Arabidopsis thaliana: one gene and its partners. The protein of the gene in region 2 interacts with the protein of the main gene of each other region in a pairwise test. Each region holds a gene or a part of one and is shown on either strand. Other genes may lie near its edges.

Evidence for each region.
Region 1: the proteins of RBCS2B (region 2) and AT1G09660 interact in a two-hybrid assay, tested with the Arabidopsis thaliana proteins (one large-scale study listed by BioGRID).
Region 3: the proteins of RBCS2B (region 2) and AT4G17680 interact in a two-hybrid assay, tested with the Arabidopsis thaliana proteins (one large-scale study listed by BioGRID).
Region 4: the proteins of RBCS2B (region 2) and ARF16 interact in a two-hybrid assay, tested with the Arabidopsis thaliana proteins (one large-scale study listed by BioGRID).

The regions. Positions count from the first base shown.
Region 1 is NC_003070.9:3,126,744-3,133,593, reverse strand, and holds AT1G09660 (RNA-binding KH domain-containing protein), read left to right. Parts: upstream 1-2,499; 5' UTR 2,500-2,720; exon of another isoform or gene 2,721-2,794; 5' UTR 2,795-2,802; coding exon 2,803-2,933; intron 2,934-3,408; coding exon 3,409-3,494; intron 3,495-4,165; coding exon 4,166-4,290; intron 4,291-4,412; coding exon 4,413-4,550; intron 4,551-4,626; coding exon 4,627-4,743; intron 4,744-5,191; coding exon 5,192-5,335; coding exon of another isoform or gene 5,336-5,389; exon of another isoform or gene 5,390-5,406; coding exon 5,407-5,562; 3' UTR 5,563-5,832; downstream 5,833-6,850. Other genes in the region: AT1G09665 (Toll-Interleukin-Resistance (TIR) domain family protein), read right to left, coding at 39-499; AT1G09650 (F-box and associated interaction domains-containing protein), read right to left, coding at 6,468-6,850.
Region 2 is NC_003076.8:15,379,726-15,384,664, reverse strand, and holds RBCS2B (Ribulose bisphosphate carboxylase (small chain) family protein), read left to right. Parts: upstream 1-2,593; 5' UTR 2,594-2,686; coding exon 2,687-2,857; intron 2,858-2,947; coding exon 2,948-3,082; intron 3,083-3,222; coding exon 3,223-3,462; 3' UTR 3,463-3,758; downstream 3,759-4,939. Other genes in the region: RBCS1B (Ribulose bisphosphate carboxylase (small chain) family protein), read left to right, coding at 76-315. UniProt on the Arabidopsis thaliana protein: RuBisCO catalyzes two reactions: the carboxylation of D-ribulose 1,5-bisphosphate, the primary event in carbon dioxide fixation, as well as the oxidative fragmentation of the pentose substrate.
Region 3 is NC_003075.7:9,841,572-9,846,936, reverse strand, and holds AT4G17680 (SBP (S-ribonuclease binding protein) family protein), read left to right. Parts: upstream 1-2,602; 5' UTR 2,603-2,841; coding exon 2,842-2,939; intron 2,940-3,036; coding exon 3,037-3,107; exon of another isoform or gene 3,108-3,186; coding exon 3,187-3,437; exon of another isoform or gene 3,438-3,461; coding exon of another isoform or gene 3,462-3,509; coding exon 3,510-4,034; 3' UTR 4,035-4,327; downstream 4,328-5,365. Other genes in the region: AT4G17690 (Peroxidase superfamily protein), read right to left, coding at 1-810.
Region 4 is NC_003075.7:14,701,857-14,708,795, reverse strand, and holds ARF16 (auxin response factor 16), read left to right. Parts: upstream 1-2,441; 5' UTR 2,442-2,618; intron 2,619-3,211; 5' UTR 3,212-3,231; coding exon 3,232-4,317; intron 4,318-4,392; coding exon 4,393-5,249; intron 5,250-5,357; coding exon 5,358-5,427; 3' UTR 5,428-5,731; downstream 5,732-6,939. UniProt on the Arabidopsis thaliana protein: Auxin response factors (ARFs) are transcriptional factors that bind specifically to the DNA sequence 5'-TGTCTC-3' found in the auxin-responsive promoter elements (AuxREs). Could act as transcriptional activator or repressor.

The DNA of each region.
Region 1 (6,850 bases), on a different chromosome or scaffold from region 2:
GCAATATTAGATTAGGGATGATGAGTAAGCTAAGGTACCTTTTGTCGCCTAACGTTAAGCCCACCTTGTCAGAAACAGACTCTAAAGCTTCCTTCCATTTCTTGATTTGTTCTCCACTCGAAGTCTTAGCCAACCTCCAGAAGTTGCGACCAAACTCAGCCTTTTGATATCTAACAGACTCTGCCTTCACTTTAAAGAAGATAGGAACCACTCGTAGCTTGCATTTATCGGCTCTTTTCTTGATCCTTGCAAGCTCGTCCAGGCACCAGCTTGACTCTGCGTATCTTTTGGAAAATATGGTGAGAGCCATCCTCGATTGCTTGATCCTTGCAAAGAGATGTTTGAGGTCTTTCCCTTTTTGTTCGTCTTTGTCTATGAAGAAGTTGATTCCATGTCTTTTAAAAGCGTCAACGAGGTGGCTCACAAAGCTGCAGCGTAGCTCCTCTCCCCGGAAATTGATGAACACTTGGATCTTCCTATTACTACTACTCCTTTTCATGTTGTTTAATTTCCTTTAGTTGTGAGCGTGAGCAATGAAGAGAAGTTGGTTAGACTTTGTTCCACTCTTATACAATTTTGTTTGGACAGAAGACAAGTTTTGTAATGTAATATGGAACAATGGTTACTAAGATGTTTAGCAAGAGCTTAATTTATAGTATATGATATTGGGATTTGGGAGGGTTTAGGTACATTGTTAATGTTAGGTTTATCGATATTACTGGAGGGAAGGCGTCGTTAGGAACTTTGTCATTAACTTTCTTGAGTTAACATGCGTAAATGCAGTGGCGGACCCAGAATTTGATTATTCCAAAAATTGGACAGAGGAGGAAGAAAAGTCACAATCCCAAACAGTTAATACAAGATCGTAGAAAAGCGTTTTTGGCGCACGTGCGCGGAGAGAGAAAGCAGAAGCAGACCTCACTTTTCTTTTTTTCTTGGTTTTTTCTTGTCTCTGGATCCTCATTGTTGTTCTCACCACCACCTACTAGCTACTACCCACATTTTTCCCCAATGTCGAACTTCTATCCGTTTTCTTCTTTGGTTTTAGGTCTTTCTTTTTGGTAGTTGTACTACAACATGTATACTTTTAATTTGCAGCAAACATGAAACTTCTCCTTTGTCAGCACTCAGCCTTACGGAACAACATGTACCCCTAAACAAAACTCTACATGACCTAGGGGATTTGAAACATCCCAAGAAATGGATTTTTTTTTTTTTTTTTTTTTTTGGGCTGTGATTGTTAATGAAAACCTTTTTATGTATACATTTGATAAAGTAAATACTACATATATTCTAGTAGAATAATACCATTTACCTAATATACTGAAATTTCTTGGGATGTTTCAAATCCCCTAGGTCATGTAGAATTTTGTTTAGGGTTACATGTTGTTCCGTAAGGCTGAGTGCTGACAAAGGAGAAGTTTCATGTTGGCTGCAAATTAAAAGTATACATGTGTAGAACAGCTAACAAACAGAAAGCATAGAAAGAAGGGAACCCTAGGATAAAGAATTAAAAAGGGGAACAAAGATTTATGCTGTTTCTTCTTTATTTCTCATTGGCAAAACGGCAGAATCTTCATTAAGTTGCGTTTTATTATTTTTTCCATTTCTTATAGTAGCCAACTTCCAACTACACCATTTAACCCGGCCGTTTTTTTTTGTTGCTAAGTAATAGGTAAATATCCTATTAATGAAAATTATGATTTACATGAACAATAGCTAAGATTTAGGATACAAACAAGGAAGACGATCAAGGATCTTGAAGATAGAAGTAGGCGCAAATGTGTTGTGAATTATGCAGCATCTTATTTCTTTGCTTCCAAGTTGTATATAAATCACGGCTTGAGTAACTAGCTTCCTTAGTGTATATGTGACTGCATCTATCATATACAGTATGTGTGTAAACTGCGTTTGGTGTAAAATGTAATTATAATTTATAGAAAATAAATTAAAGTAGTGGAACATGGAAATCACCGTTCAGATATTCTAACTGATTCACTATAGACGGAATTCTTGTTTTCGTCCATTGTTTTTACTTTTTAGAATTTTTAAGTAAAATAAATCATCCATTACATCACTGAGGTGACATCATCGCTCAGGGGACATCACTAACTACGTTCCCACTAAAAATATAGGCAAATGCAATCAAGTGAATGATGATGACCTTTCAAGAGTTCGTAGAGATAAATAAAATAATAAATATTTGGCATGTTGAGGATCAAATGAATTAGATGCATAAGAAAGGTACTAGGTAGACCAGGCCCGGCCCAATGTGTTTTGTTGTCTAAAGCAAAACAAAAAAAATTAAGCCCATTAAAGAATAGTTATATTGCCTCGGAAGGGCTCGAATCCATCATCTTCATTTTTTTAGTTTACACGGATTGGAAGTAGGCTACAATGTCCCTGAGGGAAGGTAGGCCCATTATTAGTGACCTGAAGCCCAATAATAATGAAAACGCAAAGAACCTTTTAAGAAGAAGATGACAGAATCTCTAGAGAATAAAAAACTAAACACAAAAATAGAAAATATCGAAAATGAGATGAGAGAGAGAGGAGGAGTCTCTCATCGTGAGTAGGGCTTTTGACTCCCTCCCTACTTTGCCTACTTCTTCTTCTTCCTCTGTGGCCACTCTACACAGTCCACACCTACTTCAAGACACCTTTCTCATCCTTGAGATCGGCGTCAGATCCTCCGCCGCTTCTCCTCTTCACTATCTCCGGTCACAACTTGTTTTTCTCTGTTTTTCTTTATCTCTACTTTATGCACAATCTGACTTTCTAAGTGGATTTACAGTGTTAAAGATGATGGAATCTGGCGCTGGTTTCGTGGCCATGGAAGAGAGGATCTCTCCTGGAAGTTTCTTCCAGTATCCTCTTTCTGGATTCCGTGCTTCTCCTAATCGATCCCCTTGTCCTCCCTCTGATCGTGAAAGGTTTCTATTTTCTCTCTTCTTTCTCAACCTTTTTGCTATTTGTGAATCTGTGTTAGCTTGATTGTTGTGGACCCGTTTCTTCTTCTGGACTTGTTGCTTTAGCACAACTTCAAGTGTGTCTCTTTGTGATTGGTGGGTATTGTTGCCTTTGATTGGATCAGTGTTTAAAAATGATTCTGTCAAGTTTGTATTTTCATGAACTGCTTACACAGATCCAAATTCTCGATCATACTCTCTCACCTCAACATGTCGCCTTTTTCACAATTAGCTCACTTATTATTGGATTCTATACAATGTACTCTTAAGGATTTTAACAAGATAGCTATATTTTATCAATGTTTTAGAAATGAACGTACTGATGTATTTTTAGAAGCTTAGTTTACATGTGACTGAGTGCTGATTCCAATGTCACCCACTCGATTCACACGCAACATCCACTGAAACTTAAGTTTTTTTTGTTCTTAACCTTGTGCAGGTACTTGACTGAATTATTGCAAGAGAGACAAAAGTTGGGTCCCTTTTTGCAAGTTATGCCAAATTGCTGCAGACTGCTTAATCATGGTGAGCTATCTTATTAAGCTATGTGATTTTGAATTTAGTATTTCCTTAGAGTGTGTGCACACGAACTTAAGAAATTTCCCACGTGAACAAAGCCTTAGTGCGCATCACCCTGGCTTTTTTCCAGTTAAAGGTTTACAGAAATTGGGTAAGGATAGTTGAGTAACAAAAATGTATCTACATGCAACTTTTTATTCTCTTTGTTATGGCCTTCTTAATATATATATAGCCAATCAAAGTCTATGTTACTTTTAGCATTTAGAAACAGTTTTTAATTGCAACTTATTGCTAAATGATCATCCTTGATGAGTTATGTTATGTGAAAATGAATTAAGTCTATGTGTTTGCAAATGATAATGATCGTTAAGCAAATGATCACCAACTAATTTATACTAGGAAGCCTATTTGTCCGTAAATATGCATATGGTGATTAGAAGCTTGTTTCCAGACTTGTTTACCTAGCTTTTAGTTGTCCATCATGCCCTTAAGGGATGTGTGAACCTTAAAAGACAAAGATGTGTTTGAAGTTTTCATCATTCTAACCTATTAGAACCCGAGCCTTTTGTTTCATTATTGGCATTAAAGATAAGAGACTGAAGATGCCCCTGATGTATAACTCTTACAGTTTCTTTTATACGTTTGCTTAACTGCCAACATTGCTGACGTCTGTGCAGAAATCAGGAGGGTCTCTAGTTTTCCTGATCTTGATAGATATGAGCATGGCAGTCCATTTAGATCGCTTGGTCAGCCGACAAATGGAAAGCTTGATTTAGAGGGATGGTCGATGATGCAAGCCGAGGTAAGCCACTGCTGATAGTTGTAGTCAATTAACTGATTCATGTTGAATTGTAATGGTGATACTAATAATTTTTATAATCAAGAGTGGGCTTTACCGATATTGATTGCTTTTGCTTTCTTCAGGAAAACTGTCACCTCCAGAGAGCTTCTCCATTTCGCGGTCCTTCCCCAGTGGGCTGGATTGGGATGCCGGGACTCCCTAACCCACCCATTGTGAAAAAAGTGATTAGACTTGATGTCCCAGTGGATAAATATCCAAGCGTATGTCTTAAATCTTTACCCAAATAGGTTATTATAATTGGATTGTTCTAGAGTTTAAATCCATTGAGCGTTGCAGTATAATTTTGTTGGGAGGATTCTTGGGCCACGTGGAAACTCCCTAAAAAGAGTTGAGCTAGCAACCCACTGCAGGGTGTTTATCAGAGGACGAGGATCTGTGAAGGATACTGTCAAGGTATGGCTCCTTGTTTATTAATTCTCTGAAGGATTCCATTTTGTCTCTGTTTTATTCTTACAGTTCAAAACTTCACTTTATGTCATGTTTTTACCTGTTAATCAGTTTTATAACCATGTTTTGAATACGCACAATTTTCTTCCGGCCTTTAGGAGCAATTTGTTTTCCTTTTGTGTATAAGCTTACGTCTTTTAGCATATCAAGCTTATTGTTGAAGTAATGATACATTTTTTACTGCATCAGCAGCTACTACTCTTGTTTACATTTGAAGATATGTAAATTTTGGCAGCCTGTATAAGAAATAAACTGTTAAAGTTTTAGGTTCTTACATCATCAGAAGTAAATAGAGAAAGTTTTGAAATTCATTTTTTTCTGACTCTTATATATTCTCTGACAATCTACCATGCGGTGTGAAAGCTTATCCATTTAGTTCTTTACTTCCCTGCAGGAGGAAAAATTAAAAGGTAAGCCAGGGTACGAGCATCTCTGCGAGCCACTACATGTACTGATCGAGGCCGAGCTTCCAGAAGACATAATAAACTCTCGATTGGAGCATGCAGTGCATTTCCTGGAATCACTCCTGAAGCCGATGGTACATTCTTATCACAAAAGTCCAAACATGTCTATTTTGTTCACATGGTTTTGATTCTTCTCTCTCTACAGGACGAGTCAATGGATCACTACAAGAGGGAACAGCTGAAGGAGTTAGCGGCTTTGAATGGTACACTAAGGGAGGAGAGTCCGAGTCCGAGCTTGAGCCCTTGTTTGAGCCCCAGCATGTCCCCTTTCAACAGCAAGCGTGCTAAGACAGAGATATGATCAAGAGAAACCACTAGTGCATGGGTCTTGTGGGCAGGATCATGAGTTTGCTAAGTTCTAACGTTTGGACTCTTGAATTAATTTATTTTGTCATTAACTTTATTCTTTATTTTTGTTGGTTAGCTGAGATGACCATTAACCAGTGGGTAATAAACTAATAATGGTGTTTATGAAATTGTAATCTCCTTCTCAATCATTGTAACCTTTATTTAAGTTTTAAACCCCAAACGTTTATTTCATTTTAAGTTTTGAAATTTCTCCATTTGTCTATCTACCATTCATTATCAGTTTGTTTTGAGATTTAAGGTTCAGATTCAAATGTCGGAAACTATTAGACAACAAAGAGATTCACCATTGACCAGTGTGTAATAAACTAATAATGGTGCTTATGAAAATGTAATCTCCTTCTCAATTATTTATTGATTATGGCTCTGATTCTGATGCCATGTAAAAGGAGATTATTTCAATTGAATTACAGAACAAAGTCATTGGAAGCTTCAGATAGTTGTTTGAGTTATTTGATTGGTGGTTTCGGAGAGATTCGTTACCTTGTTTCAATTTCTTTAACATTTCTTCAGAATTTGAATAGATACATAGATTTAAGACTTTGTTTTCGGGGAGTTTATAGCAACAAGATCCTAGTTTGGGCTATCGTTGAGAAACCTATAAGGTGCCTTAAAGATTCTAGAGCATATTGTGGTCACTGAAAGTATGCAAGGAAAAACGACATCATCCGACTGTGTGAGATAAATTAGAAGCATAACAAGCGCATAAAAAAGCACGACAAAAATTGTTGGTACATGTTGAAACAAGCCCTTCTTACATAAAACAAGAATCTGAAACATAATCATAGGCAGCTTTAAGAGTTGCAAACTTGGACAAACAAACGGATGGTGAAAGAAGCTTTATGAAATAGATATTAAACTCGGGAAATAACAGACAGGATGACCGATGGAGTCAGCCTCGAAAGCAACATCATATGATTTGGTTTCGTCATCATGTACCACCATTGTTCGTTTTCGTACACGACAATAAAACAACAACTTTTTCTTCTTCTTCTTCTTCCCATCCAAAAGTGCTAGTGGCAAGACGGCGCATACTTGAGTAGGACCAAACCAACGAGAAGTTATATCCAGATTAATGGAACACATTTTGTGCCATGTCTTGTTACCTGAATTGAATGACCATATCACTTGGTTGGGCAGCTTCATCTCGGAAACGCACAAGCGGTTGTCGAGGTTGCACATGACTATATCGAATCCATCTACATTGGCAAAGGGAGCTTTAG
Region 2 (4,939 bases):
CCGAAATAGACTATATCACCTTGTGCATATCCTCCAATATCAATTGTATTGAATGGTTTTCTTATGTGTTTATAGCACGGATTTGTGTACCGTGAGCACGGAAACACTCCCGGATACTACGATGGACGGTACTGGACAATGTGGAAGCTTCCATTGTTCGGATGCACCGACTCCGCTCAAGTGTTGAAGGAAGTTGAAGAATGCAAGAAGGAGTACCCGGGCGCCTTCATTAGGATCATCGGATTCGACAACACCCGTCAAGTCCAATGCATCAGTTTCATTGCCTACAAGCCCCCAAGCTTCACTGATGCTTAAATCCTTTTCTGGAATATTCAATGTTGACTATCCGGAACCCAATTTTGTATGGTCAATGTAAATTTAAGTAATTATTTTGCCAAAGTGAAAAAACTGAAGGTTTGTTTTTCTATCGTTTCCTCTATAAAAATCTCTATTCATATCACTTCATTTCTGCTCTTATCACTTTTAACTCTTTTTATTCGTTTTATCTCTTTTAACTAACATTTTAGTTCCTTTAAATTTCTCTCCTAATTCTTGCCTTTGGTTCTCTAATGAAAGAGTACCCTTTTTAGGTACATTTCGCACTTGAAAGCATAGCAAAGATGCGTCCATCAATCAAATTTTGAGGGTTGATTTAGAACATTTTAATTTAAAGATGAAAAACAGCCAGTAAAGGTAGTAAAAATACGTAGAAAATAGAGATGTCGTCTCAGAGAAGATGAAAGTTACATAGCCCTTTGGAAAGGAAAAAATGATCACTACCGTCAAAAGTTTGTCACAAGAGATACATGCTCAAAAATTCGCAACACTAAGCCTACGATGGACGGATACAAAGGGATCTGTTTCTTTTACTTTACCCTAACTACTCCTTTCTCAGTTGGCTAGCTTCAAAAAACAGAGTTGCCACGGGAGACAGAATGTTTAAATGGAATCAACAAGTGAACACAAACTGCATGTTCTGTCACGAACCTATGGAAACAAGACACCATCTTTTTTTTGGGTGCTCTTACTCGCAGAAGGTATGGGAGAAGCTGATAAGGGGAATACTACTTGATAAGTACTCGACATATTGGAGGGAAGTCTTTAAAACCATTTGTGACAAAAACTATGACAAAACAAAAATCTTCATTCTACGGTATGTCTTCCAAAACACGGTTCATTCGATTTGGGGAGAAAGAAATGCTTGAAAGCATGGTGAACAACCATCACCAATGGAGAAACTTGTCAAGTTAATTGACAAAAATGTTTGGAACCGGCTGAGCACAATACGGAGTGGGGGGAGCTTTGAAGTATGAAGGAGGTCTTCAAGTTTGGTTTGGTACAAGACAAGCTTAAGACCAAATCCTCTGTTTTAGATTTGTTTTTCAAAAAAGTATGCATTAAGTTGTAAACACGTTTATTTCTCTTTTTAAAATCTAATCTAAAAATTTTCTTTTTTAAAATGACATAGAAAAATCCAACTGTATATTTTAAATCCATAAACATGAATTCTAGAGCCGCAAGTCCAAAAATTTAGAGATGACATCATAGCAAGCAAGGACACGCAAGAATTAATGAAATTTATAATGGAGATAACAAAGCATGAATATTTATAATTTGGAAACTGTTTTACATTAAATTAGATAGTTTACGATACATTCAAAGCTAAAACACTTATTTACAATGAAAAGTAATCAATGTTTCTTGAATGGGTTTGGCTACTTCTTCTCATATGGTTGGACCGGGGCATATATGAGCTTTTACGTGGTATTCGTGGACCCATGACCATATGAGCTTCTTCATGTGGCCTTAGAGTGTGGATTCTTCCCTCGGATCCACACCATCCATTGAAGTGTGTTATAAAATTTCCCCATGATCCGTCATGGCTTTTGTGCTTAAGTTGTCATGGTGGGAATTATCTTGAGGTGCCACATTCGTGCTTAAGTGGGCCGTAAGTGCAATTGCGTTGTGCTCCAAAAGGAACGGTGCCGTGGGTTCCTCTTGTTCATCAGAAATATATTAATTAGCCGTAAAACCTGAAAATTCACAAGCATTTGGATTGTTTTCTAATTTAATATCCATTATGTGACTAAAAGTTCTAGTGATCGTACATACTACATAGAAAATAATAACACAAAATACTAGTTTACATTTCCCAATTAAAAACCATTTTGAATGAACTCTGTCTGATTTAATTATACTTTTAAAATGTGGGATGAATTCAAAGATTATACTTATATTCTTATTATTTAAGATTATCAAGTGGAAAAATAAAAATATGAATGTGTTAATATAAGGTAATAGAAATTTAATCATTTTTTTAATCTATATGTAAAAAGTATTTAACCGATATCTACAATTTGACGCCTCCCAATTGAAAGGAGCCAAAAGCAACCGATCAAGTGGAGACCAGTAGCCATACACATTCACTCCTACCCTTACATGAGAAAGATAAGATTATGGAGTTTTCTGCCACGTGATCTTATCCTAGTGGTCCAAATCGATAAGGGTGTCAACACCTTTCCTTAATCCTGTGGCAATTAACGACGTTATCATGAATTATGGCCCCTTTGATCATTAGGGCTAGTTGCCTCTAGCGGTTCCCACTATATAAAGATGACAAAACCAACAGACAAACAAGTAAGTAAGAGAAAAACCAAAAGAAGAAGAGAAACAACAAGAAGAAGTAATGGCTTCCTCTATGTTCTCCTCCACCGCTGTGGTTACCTCCCCGGCTCAAGCCACCATGGTCGCTCCATTCACCGGCTTGAAGTCATCCGCTTCTTTCCCGGTCACCCGCAAGGCCAACAACGACATTACTTCCATCACAAGCAACGGAGGAAGAGTTAGCTGCATGAAGGTAAATGTCATTAATGAAAACTGTCTTTTGTCATGTGCAATTAGTGCAACTGAACAATACTTTAGAATAATTGGGAATTCGAATTTATAGGTGTGGCCACCAATCGGAAAGAAGAAGTTTGAGACTCTATCTTACCTCCCTGACCTTAGTGACGTTGAATTGGCTAAGGAAGTTGACTACCTTCTCCGCAACAAGTGGATTCCTTGTGTTGAATTCGAGTTGGAGGTAATATACACTGAACTTTTCCTTTGTCTCTAAGCATCCTTTATTCTTCTTCTTCATTGCTAGAAACTTAAGTGGATAACCGAAATAGACTATCACCAATATATATATCAATTGTATTGAATGGTTTTCTTTATATATAGCACGGATTTGTGTACCGTGAGCACGGAAACACTCCCGGATACTATGATGGACGATACTGGACAATGTGGAAGCTTCCATTGTTCGGATGCACCGACTCCGCTCAAGTGTTGAAGGAAGTTGAAGAATGCAAGAAGGAGTACCCTGGCGCCTTCATTAGGATCATCGGATTCGACAACACCCGTCAAGTCCAATGCATCAGTTTCATTGCCTACAAGCCCCCAAGCTTCACCGAAGCTTAATCCCCTTTCTGGAATATTCAGCGTTGATTATTCTGGAACCCATTTCTATGTGGTCAATGCAAATTTAAGAAATTATTTGCCGACTTAACAGTTGAGGAACTATTGTTTGAAAGTGAAAATGTTATTCCTATCAGTTTCTCTATAATTATAGTTATCATTTCATTTCATTTTTGCCCTTAAATCTTTGAAATCTTATTTTTCGTTTAGCTCCTTTAAACAACATTGTGGCTCCTTTAAATTATCCTCATAATTCTTGCTTTTGACTCCCTAGACTAACCAATAAACTCTAATAAAAAAAGAAAAACTTGCTACATTGTTTTAAGAAATTTTGCACATGAAAGCAATCAATCAAACCTCGATATTTAGAGAAAAGTTTATGTAAGGGAGTGTAACCATTTTTCAGATGACATAGCCATTGGAGATTTGGAAAAGGTAGTATATACAGAAAATTCAAATGCATCTTTTAAAATTATAAACATAAAACATGTATTCCAAACCCCTAAGTGGGATATTAAGTCAAGAAATAGCATTACATAAAGCAAGGATCGACAAAGACTGAAATTTGTCAAGCATGAAGTTACTAAATTTTGGAAATTTTGTTTACGTTAAATTTGATCATTGGTTATGCATTAAAAGCTGAAACAGTTATTTAGAAGGAAAAGTAGTTAACGTTCCCAAAAAGTTCTAAATAAAACTAGATTCCAAATGATAATGAAAACGTCGCATCTACTATATGTTTGGTTTTAAGTTTTTGTTTTGACAAAAAATCATATGTTTTTGGATTCTTCTATGCAAACGAAATATAAAAAATTCATGATTCAAATACAAAATACATATAAAAATAATAATTCAAATTATCGAACATTTTTTCCATCTCCCGGATTTAATTCACACATTTTGGCTTCAATTAAAATCCAAGAAAAAGAAACAAAATGACTTATAAAAGACAGAAACTAGTAACTTAGATGGATGGGTTAAGACTTAAGAGTTAAGACTATCTCACTTTCGAAAAATGATTTATTTAGCTGAGGTGCGGAGTGGAGTGGACCTTGTGATCCTTTTCCCTACACGAAAGTTTTTTCGTGACCAGTTAATGTGTACTTTGTACACGTTTCTTCTCATATATATGATTGAAAAGGGGGCATTAATTTGTGAGCCTGAAGGTAGTAGTCGTGATCCATGAGTGCATGACCATAGTTTTATGTGACTTTAAGATGAGTTCTTGACTCCGTTCTACACCTTTGATTACATACTCAAGTTTGCATGGTGGAAATCAGCTTGAGGTGCCATATTTGTGCTTGAGGGGGCCGTAAGTGCAATGGCATGGTACTCCAAGGAGAACGGTTGCGTATGTGGGTTCCCCATTGTTATTGTGATGTGATCAGAGTCGCAAGATAATCGTGAGCTGATATTACTTGTTGATCTAGAGGCAGCGTGCATTACCTCATATAGAAGATACCATGGACTTTGGGAGGTT
Region 3 (5,365 bases), on a different chromosome or scaffold from region 2:
CAATATATGGTCGGAAGCTAACAGTCCAAGACCTCGTTTCAAGTTCTTGAAATACATATTATCGAATTTTCCCGGTGTCACCGGATCGAGAAATGCTGCCATCGTCTTATTGGTTTCGAAATTCTTGCATAGATCTTTAAGAACTCCTGCGAATTTCGCGTTGAGTTCTGGATCAACCTTCGGGAATATCCGGTTGCTGAATTCTTTGCAGTGTGAGAATCCGATTGTGTGCCCGCCACTTAACGCAACCAGCTCCTTTAGAGTGAAACCATTCTTCTTGAATATCGATAACATGTCGGGGACGGATTGGTTCGCTAAAGGTAAATTTCCTTTGACTTTATGGGCTTTTGACTCAAAACCATCTTTACGGCCCAGTTTGACTTCATAGAAAGGCCCACCAACCATTGTGACAAGGTCACGTGTGGCCTGAGCCAGGATGTCTGCGCAGGACACCACCCCGGGACAAGACAATTCAAGAGCGGTTTTGATGCGAGTCACAATGTCGAATGCATCTCCCGGAAGCGACTCGTTGAGGTCATCGTCACGTTCGGCTTTGTTGAAAGAATTTGTAGCGATAAGGACGGAAGCATCACATCCTTCCATGAAACAATCATGGAAAAAGAGACGGAGTGTTCCAGCAGCTGTCGTTGGCTGCTGGCCTTGCTTTGGTGTAACGGTTTCACGTACGATTTTATTGAAATCGGGACATGTTTTTTGGTAATAATCTTTTGTTAAATTTGGTGGTGGTGCCGAGTATATAGACGGGACAAAGACTAGGACGACGAAGAGAACATTTATAACCGAAGACATTGTGTATTTCACGAGACTCGTATCGATTTGTGAAAGAAATATTGTTTGTAAAATATGGAAACGGAATTGAAATGTAAAGAGATGTCTATGAGGTAGACTTCTTTATTGAATTGTTATCGGTGAAATATAGAAGCATGTACGTGTGGTTGGAGTTTGGCTTTTGTTATGTTCTTTTTATTTCAGTGATTGGTCTATATTTAGTTTGTTTTTACTTTCATTTTTCATTAGAAACGTTTTCTAACACTAATTCATTATAAAATCGATTGGCTTCTAGGTTAATTAAACCACAAACATGGAATGCATGCTAATTGGGGAAATGTGAAGGTGATTAATCACTCAATTGATTTGTTTTGTATTACTACTCCTGTTTTTGAAAGAATTTTGGAATGGTGATTAATCAACTAAAGCATCTACAGAAAACATTATTGATGGTTAGAGATATGAAAATTTAAATTGATAGGCTAAACATACAAGCAAACTTTTACTTAATCTAATGTTGCTCTTGATTTGAAATATAAACAAAAACAAAATTAAGAAAAATGTTGACTTCTGAGTTCTGACCACTAAAATCATGCAACTGCTTGACAATGGACATGCCATCCATCTTATATCAATTTGTTGCTTACCTTGCCACCACATTTCTAGATTTTTATGTCATCTTGTTGACATTTATTAGTATATAAATTCCTACCATTCTTTCTGACCAACATATGCTAGAACCAAATTATTTGTTGTTAGATATCAATTTTCGCTAACGTGTTACTGTTTATAAAGTATTAAATCATGCCTATATATATTATTATGTTTCATACTCCTCCAAACATTTTGATAAGCTTGATTTTCTTTTTATATATAGTTCAATTTTTGTAATCTCATGTATACGCTATGGCAATGTGTACTGATGACGAAACATTATGTACCTATATGTATCATGTGGTAAGTAGAACATTGTTTGTTTGCTAGAATATGTATGTCGCTTATCGTTTTGAAAAAGACTCACCAGCATATATATAATATGCAACTGTGAAGCATAATATCAATGAGGAAACGTGAAGTGCACCAAGGGATAATCTAATTTGATACCTTTTATTTGAAGAATATATGACGTCCGATCCATTAATGCTTTATATGCATCTAGCCATCGACATGGATCTAGACCTTTCAATAATTGACGACTCCTCCGTTTTCTTTTTATAATATCAAAAATTGGGACATTGGTTATATTGGAAGAGTGGTGAAGGATTTATCCTATACATCAAACCTAGATATGAATCCCAACCAACTATGGACCGCTATTGTTCTCTCTTTGTTTTTTTTTTTTGCTATGAAACTATGGACCGCTATTGTTAGCTTTTTATTTAGTTATTGTAAACATCTTAAATGAAAAAAAAAAAGAAATACTCGGTTCACTATATGCATCATGTAATAATAATCTAGGTTTTGGCCCAAGATCTATCTAAGTTATAATTAAAACGAAAAAAAAAAACAAAAAAAAAAAATTGAAAAAGAAAATTGTTAGGTAGCTAAAACCCTCAGGTACTACAAGATTAACGAATACATCTACAGATTATTCATCTGGAACATGCAAATATGTGATGTATCGACTGATCTAAAATGGATTAGTTTGGTTGAAAGACGGTTTGGTTTAGTTAGGTTGGAAGGGTCTTTGGGAAGAGTGTTACATCGTTCACATCTTTTAATTTTGATTCAGTCTCTAAATTATACTATATAGTCTATATTGCAACTGAAGAATGATTGAAAGAGTACTAGTACTAAGGAAAAAAATAGAAGTAGATGCAAAAAAAAAATGGTAACATTAGTGTGAATCATGCATATAATGTTGAAAGCTTTAAAAAGACCCACAAGTCTTTGTACCCTTTCGTCCCCCTCCCCTCTAAAACCTCATCTTCCCCATTTATTTCTCCCATTCTTTCTCCTTTTCTTTTTCAGTTCTTAATTCATACTTGAAAAAATCAATACATTTTCATCATCATCAGCATCATCATTTCCCATATACACAAACACACATGCATGCCCTTATTATCTGATAATGAACGCATAGGTCTCTTCTCTGATAGCTCAATGGCGATTCAAGCTCAGCATCCTTCACGTTTCTTCTTCAACAACAGGTAAAAATCTTCATATAATCATATAGTAATAGTATACGCCCTGTGTATTTATTATGTATGTGATGTTTTCAATTTCTTATGAAAATTTATTGAACAGTAACGGACAAGAAGCTAGTGATTGTTCGTTGCAGCCTCAAGACACTCCTTTCACTAATTTCACCAAAGCTGGTCTCTCTTCTCATTATTCCCATATCGTTTCCAAATTTTTTCCTTCAATTCCATTCAATCATCACCGTTTTTGAAACAGGGGTTGATTCAAGAAAACGATCAAGAGAAGTTTATTCATCGGCTCTGATGAACCCTCCACCTCCAAAACCGTCGCAAGTTATTGATATAACCGAGTTGTTGCAGAAAACGCCTAACGTGGTTTCCACTGGTCTTCGATTATTTCATGATCAGTCACAGAATCAACAACAGTTTTTTTCTTCTCTTCCCGGAGATGTTACCGGAAAGATTAAACGGCAAAGAGATGAACTAGACAGATTCATTCAGACTCAGGTGTCTTATTAAACTCGACCTAAAATGTGGTTTGGTTTGTTTTTTCTTTGTGTTGATAATTTGATTTTGCAGGGTGAAGAGTTGCGGCGTACGTTAGCGGATAACAGAGAGAGACGCTACGTAGAGTTATTGTGCGCTGCGGAGGAGATAGTCGGACGGAAATTGAGAAAAAAAGAAGCGGAGTTGGAGAAAGCCACGCGCCGTCACGCTGAGCTAGAAGCGCGTGTAGCTCACATCGTGGAAGAGGCGCGAAACTGGCAGTTAAGAGCGGCGACGCGGGAAGCTGAGGTGTCCTCGTTACATGCTCATCTCCAACAAGCCATAGCTAACCGCCTAGATACGGCGGCGAAACAGAGTACGTTCGGAGAAGACGGCGGAGACGCGGAAGAAGCAGAGGACGCTGAATCGGTTTACGTGGATCCGGAGCGGATCGAATTGATCGGACCAAGTTGTAGGATTTGCCGGCGGAAATCTGCGACGGTGATGGCATTGCCGTGTCAACATTTGATTCTTTGTAATGGATGCGACGTCGGAGCAGTGCGAGTCTGTCCGATTTGCCTCGCCGTGAAGACTTCCGGTGTCGAAGTTTTATTTTGATGATGATGAGTATTTAATTGATAGGCCCGTTATAGGCCCATGGGTCCATCCAGATCTAAGCAACAAACAAGACAACAGTACAGAAAAAGGACGTTTTCTATAGGCAAAAATAAAGATTGAAAATGAGATTTGAATTATATATAGTTGATGATGTACATAGGACATAGCCACATGTAGTGGCATTTTTTTCGTTTTGACATCTTCGTTTACTTTCTTTCTTTTGGATATTCTTCGCTTTTTTTTTCAGAAAACGTTTTGAAGAAATTGCTAAAATTGAATTCATTTACGTTAGAAATCTTACTATATTATTTGGGAAGTACATTTTAAATGTAACCTTACTTTTTGTAAATAATTACATAGGTATACCATTAGAAATAAAATTTTAAAGAGTAAATTAATTTATCTGTTTAAGGATTAAAAAGTCAAATACTAATTTAATTAATTAAATTTAATTAAAAAACGAAATACATTTTTAATTTCCAAAAACAATAACCAATCAAAATCAACATATAAGATTTGATATCTAAATTTTAATTAATTTAATTTAATTAGAAAAACGAAATACATTATTAATTTCCAAAAAAATAAACAATTAAAATTAACAAATTAGATTTGATATCTAAATTATCATATTAATTTTTTATTAATTATTATAGTTCACTTCTCATCTTTATATGATTCTATTTTTGCGAAAAAATAATATCATCATTATAAAAAAATAATTAGAGTTTTTTCGCATATGCCATAATTTGAATTTTTAAAAACGAATATAAACTGTTCAATACATGAAAAATATTATAACGGGTGAAAATAGATTTAAGAAAACTTTCTACTGAGTTAACAGGTCATAATTTGAAATATTTATATTCAATTTTATACATATTATATTAAAAAATTATAATCTTATATACTACAATAATTAATAAGATATTAGATTTTTTATGTGTATGATGTGATTCAATTTTTAACAAGCTGGAAAATCGTAAAATTGACGGGTTTAGATCGATATTAATACAAGATGGTATACTACAGGTGAAAGTCTTAAATTAACAATCAAACTACAAGTGTATAATCTTAGTTTTTTCAGTAAAGCTAAGATTGAATCCAAATTAAAATCTAATTTTGCATACAATCTATCTCTTATAATTATAAATGTTATGCATACATTCACATTGCCTCACAATCAATATAGAATATCGATTATTTCGAACAATAGATAGAGATTCATAAGTAAATTACTTCATGTTCTAATGATATTTATCTCCTAATATTACTATCCATTTATGCGTATTCTTATGGATTTTTCTTTCAGGATCAACATTAGATTACAA
Region 4 (6,939 bases), on a different chromosome or scaffold from region 2:
ACATTGATACAGATGTGATTGGGAAATTTTAGTTTGCCATGTTAATGTAACCAGGCCCAGCCCAATTGTGTTGGGTACAAGTTGAAACTAAAAAGCCTTAATATTTCAGATTTTTTTTTTCGGACAAACATACAACTTCAGATTAAAATATCTTTATCTATATTTTAAAAGAGGAAAAAAAAACTATTTTGTGAAGACAAAATGGGAGAAAGAAAAGGACAAGAGAGAGTCAATGTCTATAACGACTGTTTGTGTCTGATCCCAATTTCATGTCTTTATATGTCTTCTCCTTTATAGGTCGCTTTTCATTTACGCTCTTTCTTGTTTTTAGCTTTCATTTCTCTTTTTAGCTTTTATTTTATCATTCTGTTTTTTTTCTTTTGTCCAAACTATTTTTCAAATTTTTTATCAAATCCATTATATGTGAATAAAATAAAAACCATAAACCCAAATAATTGAATGGAACAAACAAACTAAAATGTATAAATTGAAAAATAAAACAAGCAAGAAATATTGGCGAGCATTTCCATTTCCGTCATGTCTCGTTGCTGTCTATAAATAATTTTTTCTTTTTAAGAAATTTGTTTCGTCCAGTTCTCGCAAAATCCCAAATTGTGGTTTGCCAACCCCTAAAAATATAACATGATTATTAGTAGATTGAGTTCACATGCCCAAGTTTTTCCAAAAGTTAGCCCAAATCTAAATTACATTATTAACGACACTTGTGGTCATGAGGAACATCGATAAACATAGAAGGTGTAACCACTAAGGAGTATTACATGCAAATGTGGTAACCAAAATCTGAAGGAATAATAAGAGGACAATTAGATCAGATCCGGTGGTTTAAGATTCAAATACCGAATTTGCCCTTGTGACATGTAAATTATTACTGGATTAACATAAATGGAGACACACGTAATAACTATTGACAAGGAAAGTATGTGGTATTGACCAAACAACACACATACACAGACACACTTCAAACTTAACCATGGTTACTCACACGTGATATGTCCTCCGGTTAAATATGTTTTCATTATCATTGTTAATTATTATTTTCTTATTATCACATTCCCATATATTAAAAGATTTTAGTGTTATCTAAAATAATTTCAGATTATAATTTCAGTTTCATAATTCCAATCTTGAAAATTTTGGTTCTTATACTTGTGTATATAATTGGATATTGGATTTTTGTTTACGTATGGCCTAGATCAAACTCTTGGTATTATTAATTGGAAAGCTAACTCTTACGACAAAAAAATACAATGACACATGCGGAAATTTATTGAGCCTTGCTACGATCATGTAGGATTGACATATGTATGTCGTATCTCTATCTTATTTGGATATATAGGGTATAGTCATATCAGAGAAATTTTCTAAAATGTTTTCTTAGGATCCTTAAATTATATTTTAAAAGGATTATCTAAGTCTCCTGATTTCCTATGAATTGGTTCGCAACCTACGAAAAAACTATGGGATCAAAAGCAAAAAATTCTAAGTTTTTTTTTCAACTTTGGTAAATTTTAACATAAATAGTTAGATGTTTATCTCCCTTCATTCCTTTTTGAAACCAATAATTTTAATCTTCCTTTCACTTACCATTTAGAAAAACACACGAAACTATGTTTTTTGTTTTTAAAAATATGTGTACCTCATATATATGCTGCATGTACAGCCTTTATACGTCTATATGCAGTTGTGTATTTCATATAATTATACTATACAAATAGAACATAAAATAGAACTATAGTTATTTACAACACAATATATATATATATATACAGCTGTATAATGTATTTTAGAATACTAGTCTGGGCCAATCAAACGGGAATATAAAAACCCGAGGTAGAATTTTATTTTTACATCGTTTAAACACAAAGAAAGATGGTTAGCAACAGCAAATTGCTTACATGGTTATCAACAAAATATCGTGTTTCGTAAACAATAAGTTAAAAATAATTCAATGAACTATTGGGATTATCAAATCAAACTGTAAAAATTAGTTTATTCAAAGAACAATTAATGGCTGAGTTAATTAGCTTGCCTTGAATTGTTAAATAATTAGATGCTTCTAATCAGATTTCAAGGAGATATGTCGGAAGCACCGACGACACGTGCGGATCCGTCACGTGCGCGATTCAACTCTTTAACTCGTATGTCGATATTTCTTTTTTTAATTCTCTTCTTTTTTCACACTCCATATTGTCGATTTTTATGCCCGGAATCAAGGGTTTGACTTACCAAATTGTTACCTTCTTTTAGGCTTAAAATTTATTACACTTAAAATAATCCGGATTAATATTTTCTAAAAAATTCACTAACTAGAGAAGAAATAATAATAAAAAAGACATGTGAAAGAGTTAATGAAAGTTGAGAAAAAAGAGATAATATTATTTTTATTTTATTTTTAGTTTTGTTTTTCTGCAGAAGAGCCAAAGCTCTTTCCTTCATATATACGAACCCCTTTTTCCATTTTCTTTGTGCAAAAAGTGTAACCTTCCTTATCCGATTCTGAAGCAGAAATTAGCTGCAGAATCTTCAGATTCTCTCTATACCTAGATTGGTTTTTCACAGAATCTTCGCTATTTTGTTCAGATCTGCCACTGTTTCAGGTTTGAACTAATTTTACATAAATTTTCTCTCCTAATCTTTCTCTGTTTCATCTTTGGTTTTCTCAATCGATTCGATATGAATTTGATTTGGTTTAGCTTGATTCGATTTGATCATCATGTCTAACTAGTTCTATCTAACTTTGTTAGTTTACTGTTCTTTTGTGTGGTTCTTGTTCTTACTTCAGACCGATCTATGTTTTTTTTGCTTTGTCTGCTTCACACAACACAATCGTGAGCTTGCTCTTATGAAAATCTAATCTAACTAAATTTTCTTAATTTGTGGTCTTTTTAATTTCATAATGGATTAATAAACTAAATATCCTCAAAACGTTCTTGAAGTTTTATAATTTGTATTTTTTGTTTTCTCCGGAGATTTGGTATTTGAAATCTTCTTACTATCTGAAATGACCCTTTTTGTCGGTTTTTCTTGAATCTTTTTATTTATTTTTATTTTCCGGGAAAATTTCGTTTGTTAGGTAAAGTTGACTGATACAAAGGACTTGAGTTGCTAAATAAAAAGCATTTGTATTGTGCTTTTGTTTGGTTACTCTGTTCTCAAACAAAAGCTGATACATTTGTATTTGTTGTTGCAGCAAAAACGGTCACAAAAAATATGATAAATGTGATGAATCCAATGAAAGGTGGAACAGAGAAAGGTTTAGATCCTCAGCTATGGCATGCATGTGCTGGTGGTATGGTTCGTATGCCTCCTATGAACTCTAAAGTCTTTTACTTTCCTCAAGGTCACGCCGAAAACGCTTACGATTGTGTCGATTTCGGTAATCTCCCTATTCCTCCCATGGTTTTGTGTCGTGTTTTAGCCATTAAGTATATGGCTGATGCTGAATCTGACGAGGTTTTCGCTAAACTGAGATTGATTCCTTTGAAAGATGATGAGTATGTTGATCACGAGTATGGTGATGGTGAAGATAGTAACGGTTTCGAGAGTAATAGTGAGAAAACGCCTTCGTTTGCTAAGACTTTGACTCAGTCTGATGCTAATAACGGTGGGGGTTTCTCTGTTCCTCGTTATTGCGCTGAGACGATTTTCCCGAGGTTGGATTATAACGCCGAGCCGCCGGTTCAGACCATTCTTGCTAAGGATGTTCATGGTGATGTTTGGAAGTTCAGACATATTTATAGAGGGACGCCTCGGCGTCACCTTCTTACAACCGGATGGAGTAATTTTGTAAACCAGAAGAAGCTTGTGGCGGGAGATTCGATTGTCTTCATGAGAGCGGAGAATGGAGATCTTTGTGTAGGTATTAGGAGGGCTAAGAGAGGAGGGATAGGTAATGGACCCGAATATTCAGCGGGTTGGAATCCGATCGGTGGAAGTTGCGGCTACTCTTCTCTGTTAAGGGAAGATGAAAGCAATAGTTTGAGGAGAAGTAATTGTTCCCTTGCGGATAGGAAGGGGAAAGTGACGGCTGAATCTGTTATAGAAGCAGCCACTCTTGCTATTAGCGGAAGACCGTTTGAGGTTGTGTACTATCCGAGAGCTAGCACTTCAGAGTTTTGTGTCAAGGCATTAGATGCTCGAGCTGCCATGCGGATTCCGTGGTGCTCAGGTATGAGGTTTAAGATGGCTTTTGAGACAGAGGATTCGTCTCGGATAAGTTGGTTTATGGGGACTGTTTCAGCTGTTAATGTCTCTGATCCTATCCGTTGGCCTAACTCTCCTTGGCGGCTTCTACAGGTAAACAAACACTCAAAATTTTCTTCTAGCTCAAGTTAGAATATAGACTCATAGGTTGCATTTTTGTGTTTTCAGGTGGCGTGGGATGAGCCAGATTTACTCCAAAACGTGAAGCGAGTTAACCCGTGGTTGGTGGAATTGGTATCAAACGTACATCCGATCCCGCTTACTTCGTTTTCGCCACCGAGGAAAAAGATGCGGCTACCTCAGCATCCAGATTACAACAATCTGATCAATTCGATTCCAGTACCTTCATTCCCAAGCAATCCCCTTATTAGATCAAGCCCGTTAAGCTCTGTTCTGGACAATGTTCCCGTGGGTTTACAGGGAGCCAGGCATAATGCTCATCAGTACTACGGGTTATCATCTTCGGATCTTCACCATTACTACTTGAATAGACCACCTCCTCCTCCTCCTCCATCCTCTCTCCAACTTTCTCCTTCTCTCGGTCTCCGAAACATCGATACCAAAAACGAAAAAGGATTTTGCTTTTTGACAATGGGAACAACACCATGCAATGATACCAAATCTAAAAAGTCCCATATTGTATTGTTCGGCAAGCTTATACTACCCGAGGAACAGCTATCAGAAAAAGGCTCAACGGATACCGCAAACATAGAGAAAACGCAGATTTCATCAGGCGGGTCGAACCAAAACGGCGTTGCGGGAAGGGAGTTTTCTTCGTCAGATGAAGGATCACCTTGCTCTAAGAAAGTTCATGATGCATCAGGTTTGGAAACAGGGCATTGTAAAGTGTTTATGGAGTCAGACGATGTAGGTCGAACCTTAGACCTATCGGTTCTTGGTTCATACGAAGAATTGAGTCGGAAACTCTCTGACATGTTTGGAATCAAAAAGTCTGAGATGTTAAGCTCTGTTCTCTATAGGGATGCATCAGGAGCCATCAAATACGCAGGAAACGAACCTTTCAGGTACATTTTTTTATTATAGACAAGATTGTCATATTTTTCGTACTATTTTGATGATGAAGTAAAAGAAAACATCTAATAGTTGTTGGTGTTTTGACTCATCTTTGGCAGTGAGTTCTTGAAGACAGCTCGAAGATTGACAATTCTGACGGAACAAGGAAGTGAGAGCGTTGTAGTATAACTTGGCAGAGTGTTTTGTTGGAGCTTGGAAGTCAAAACTCAACGATTGAATCTTTTAAGTTTTTTTTTTCTTTTATTTGTTTATTTTAGTTCCACTTTTTTGGATTATGTAAGTTTCAAAATGCAATTCACAATCTATTTGCAAATAAAATAGGTTCTTCTTCCCTTGAAAAGCTTCATTGATCAAATAGGGTATAAGAACCAAAGTCTAGACGGCAAATTATGATATGTTTGTCAAAGTCACTTCAATTTGTCTACAAATTAGTGATGACACGCATAAACCAATAGGCCTCAAACATGGTTGCATTGCTTACTTTGATTCATTATGTAATATATAAAGTGATTTTTCTTTAAATATTTCATTATTTGTTTCTTGGGATCAATAAGTTGTTGAGAGGTATGAAAAGTAATAAAAATCTGGAAGACAATTAGTTAGGGTGATGCGAGGGTCATGTCTCTAGGCACATGCACAACAAACAACGGTCGGATCCTATGTTTGACAAAACACAAAGTCCTCAACACCTAAGTTAAGTTGGATCTCCCACTTTTCATTTATAACTCAAAACTATATATATATTTAAAAGATTTTCAGATTCCAATGTATACACAACGAAAATTCCATATCATCTTCAACCTACTAATTATAAATGTACAACGAAAGTACTCTATATTCGCTTCTCGGTTCTCAAAGTCAATGAAGTTCTAAACTCACTTTTTCTCTGCTTATTTAATGTAAAAAGACCAAAAGTTCTAGCCCTTTTTACTTTCTAGTCTTTAATCTTATATAAAACCATACTCACTTTTTCTGTTCCAACCTAATGTCCTATAATGTTCCAATCTCAAGTCTTAATCATGATAGATTTGTAAAAATGTTTTTGTAAAATGACTTGTCCACTCTCAGACCTAATCTGACGACGCTTCTAGACATCAATACAAAAATGAATATGACTTGAGAGTGATGGACATCATGAAATGTGTAAATAGACGAAAGGGAGATATTTTAAATCCAGTTACATGTCATGATTAGAGTTAATATAAATTGAACCAAAACTCAATTATTGTAGCTTAAGAGAGAGTATGAACATTGTATACAAAAATAGATACACACATAAATTAATTGCATATCTGAATAAATCAAAAGTTTAGGAGTTTACATTAATCAAAAGTGATTGTGACAACTCTACGTATGAAGTTGACTCTTGAACCACACATGTTCAGAATTCACAATCCCAACAAGATCATAAGAGAAAACAAACAGCAAAATGAGAGATACATGGGGTAGTCTTGATTTGGATTAATCATTTAATTAATCAAAGTAGTCAAGTTAATCAACTGGCGATCATAATATATATGTTAATTATTAGGACAAAATACTTAGGGTTTTGCAACAAAACTATTGTTAACCATGGTTGAGTACTTGAGTTAAGACGATATCGACAGAAACAAGTGTGACAAAAGTCAAAGAGGAGAAGCGACAGAGTAGCGAACGTTGTGGCACTTTGAATACTATTTT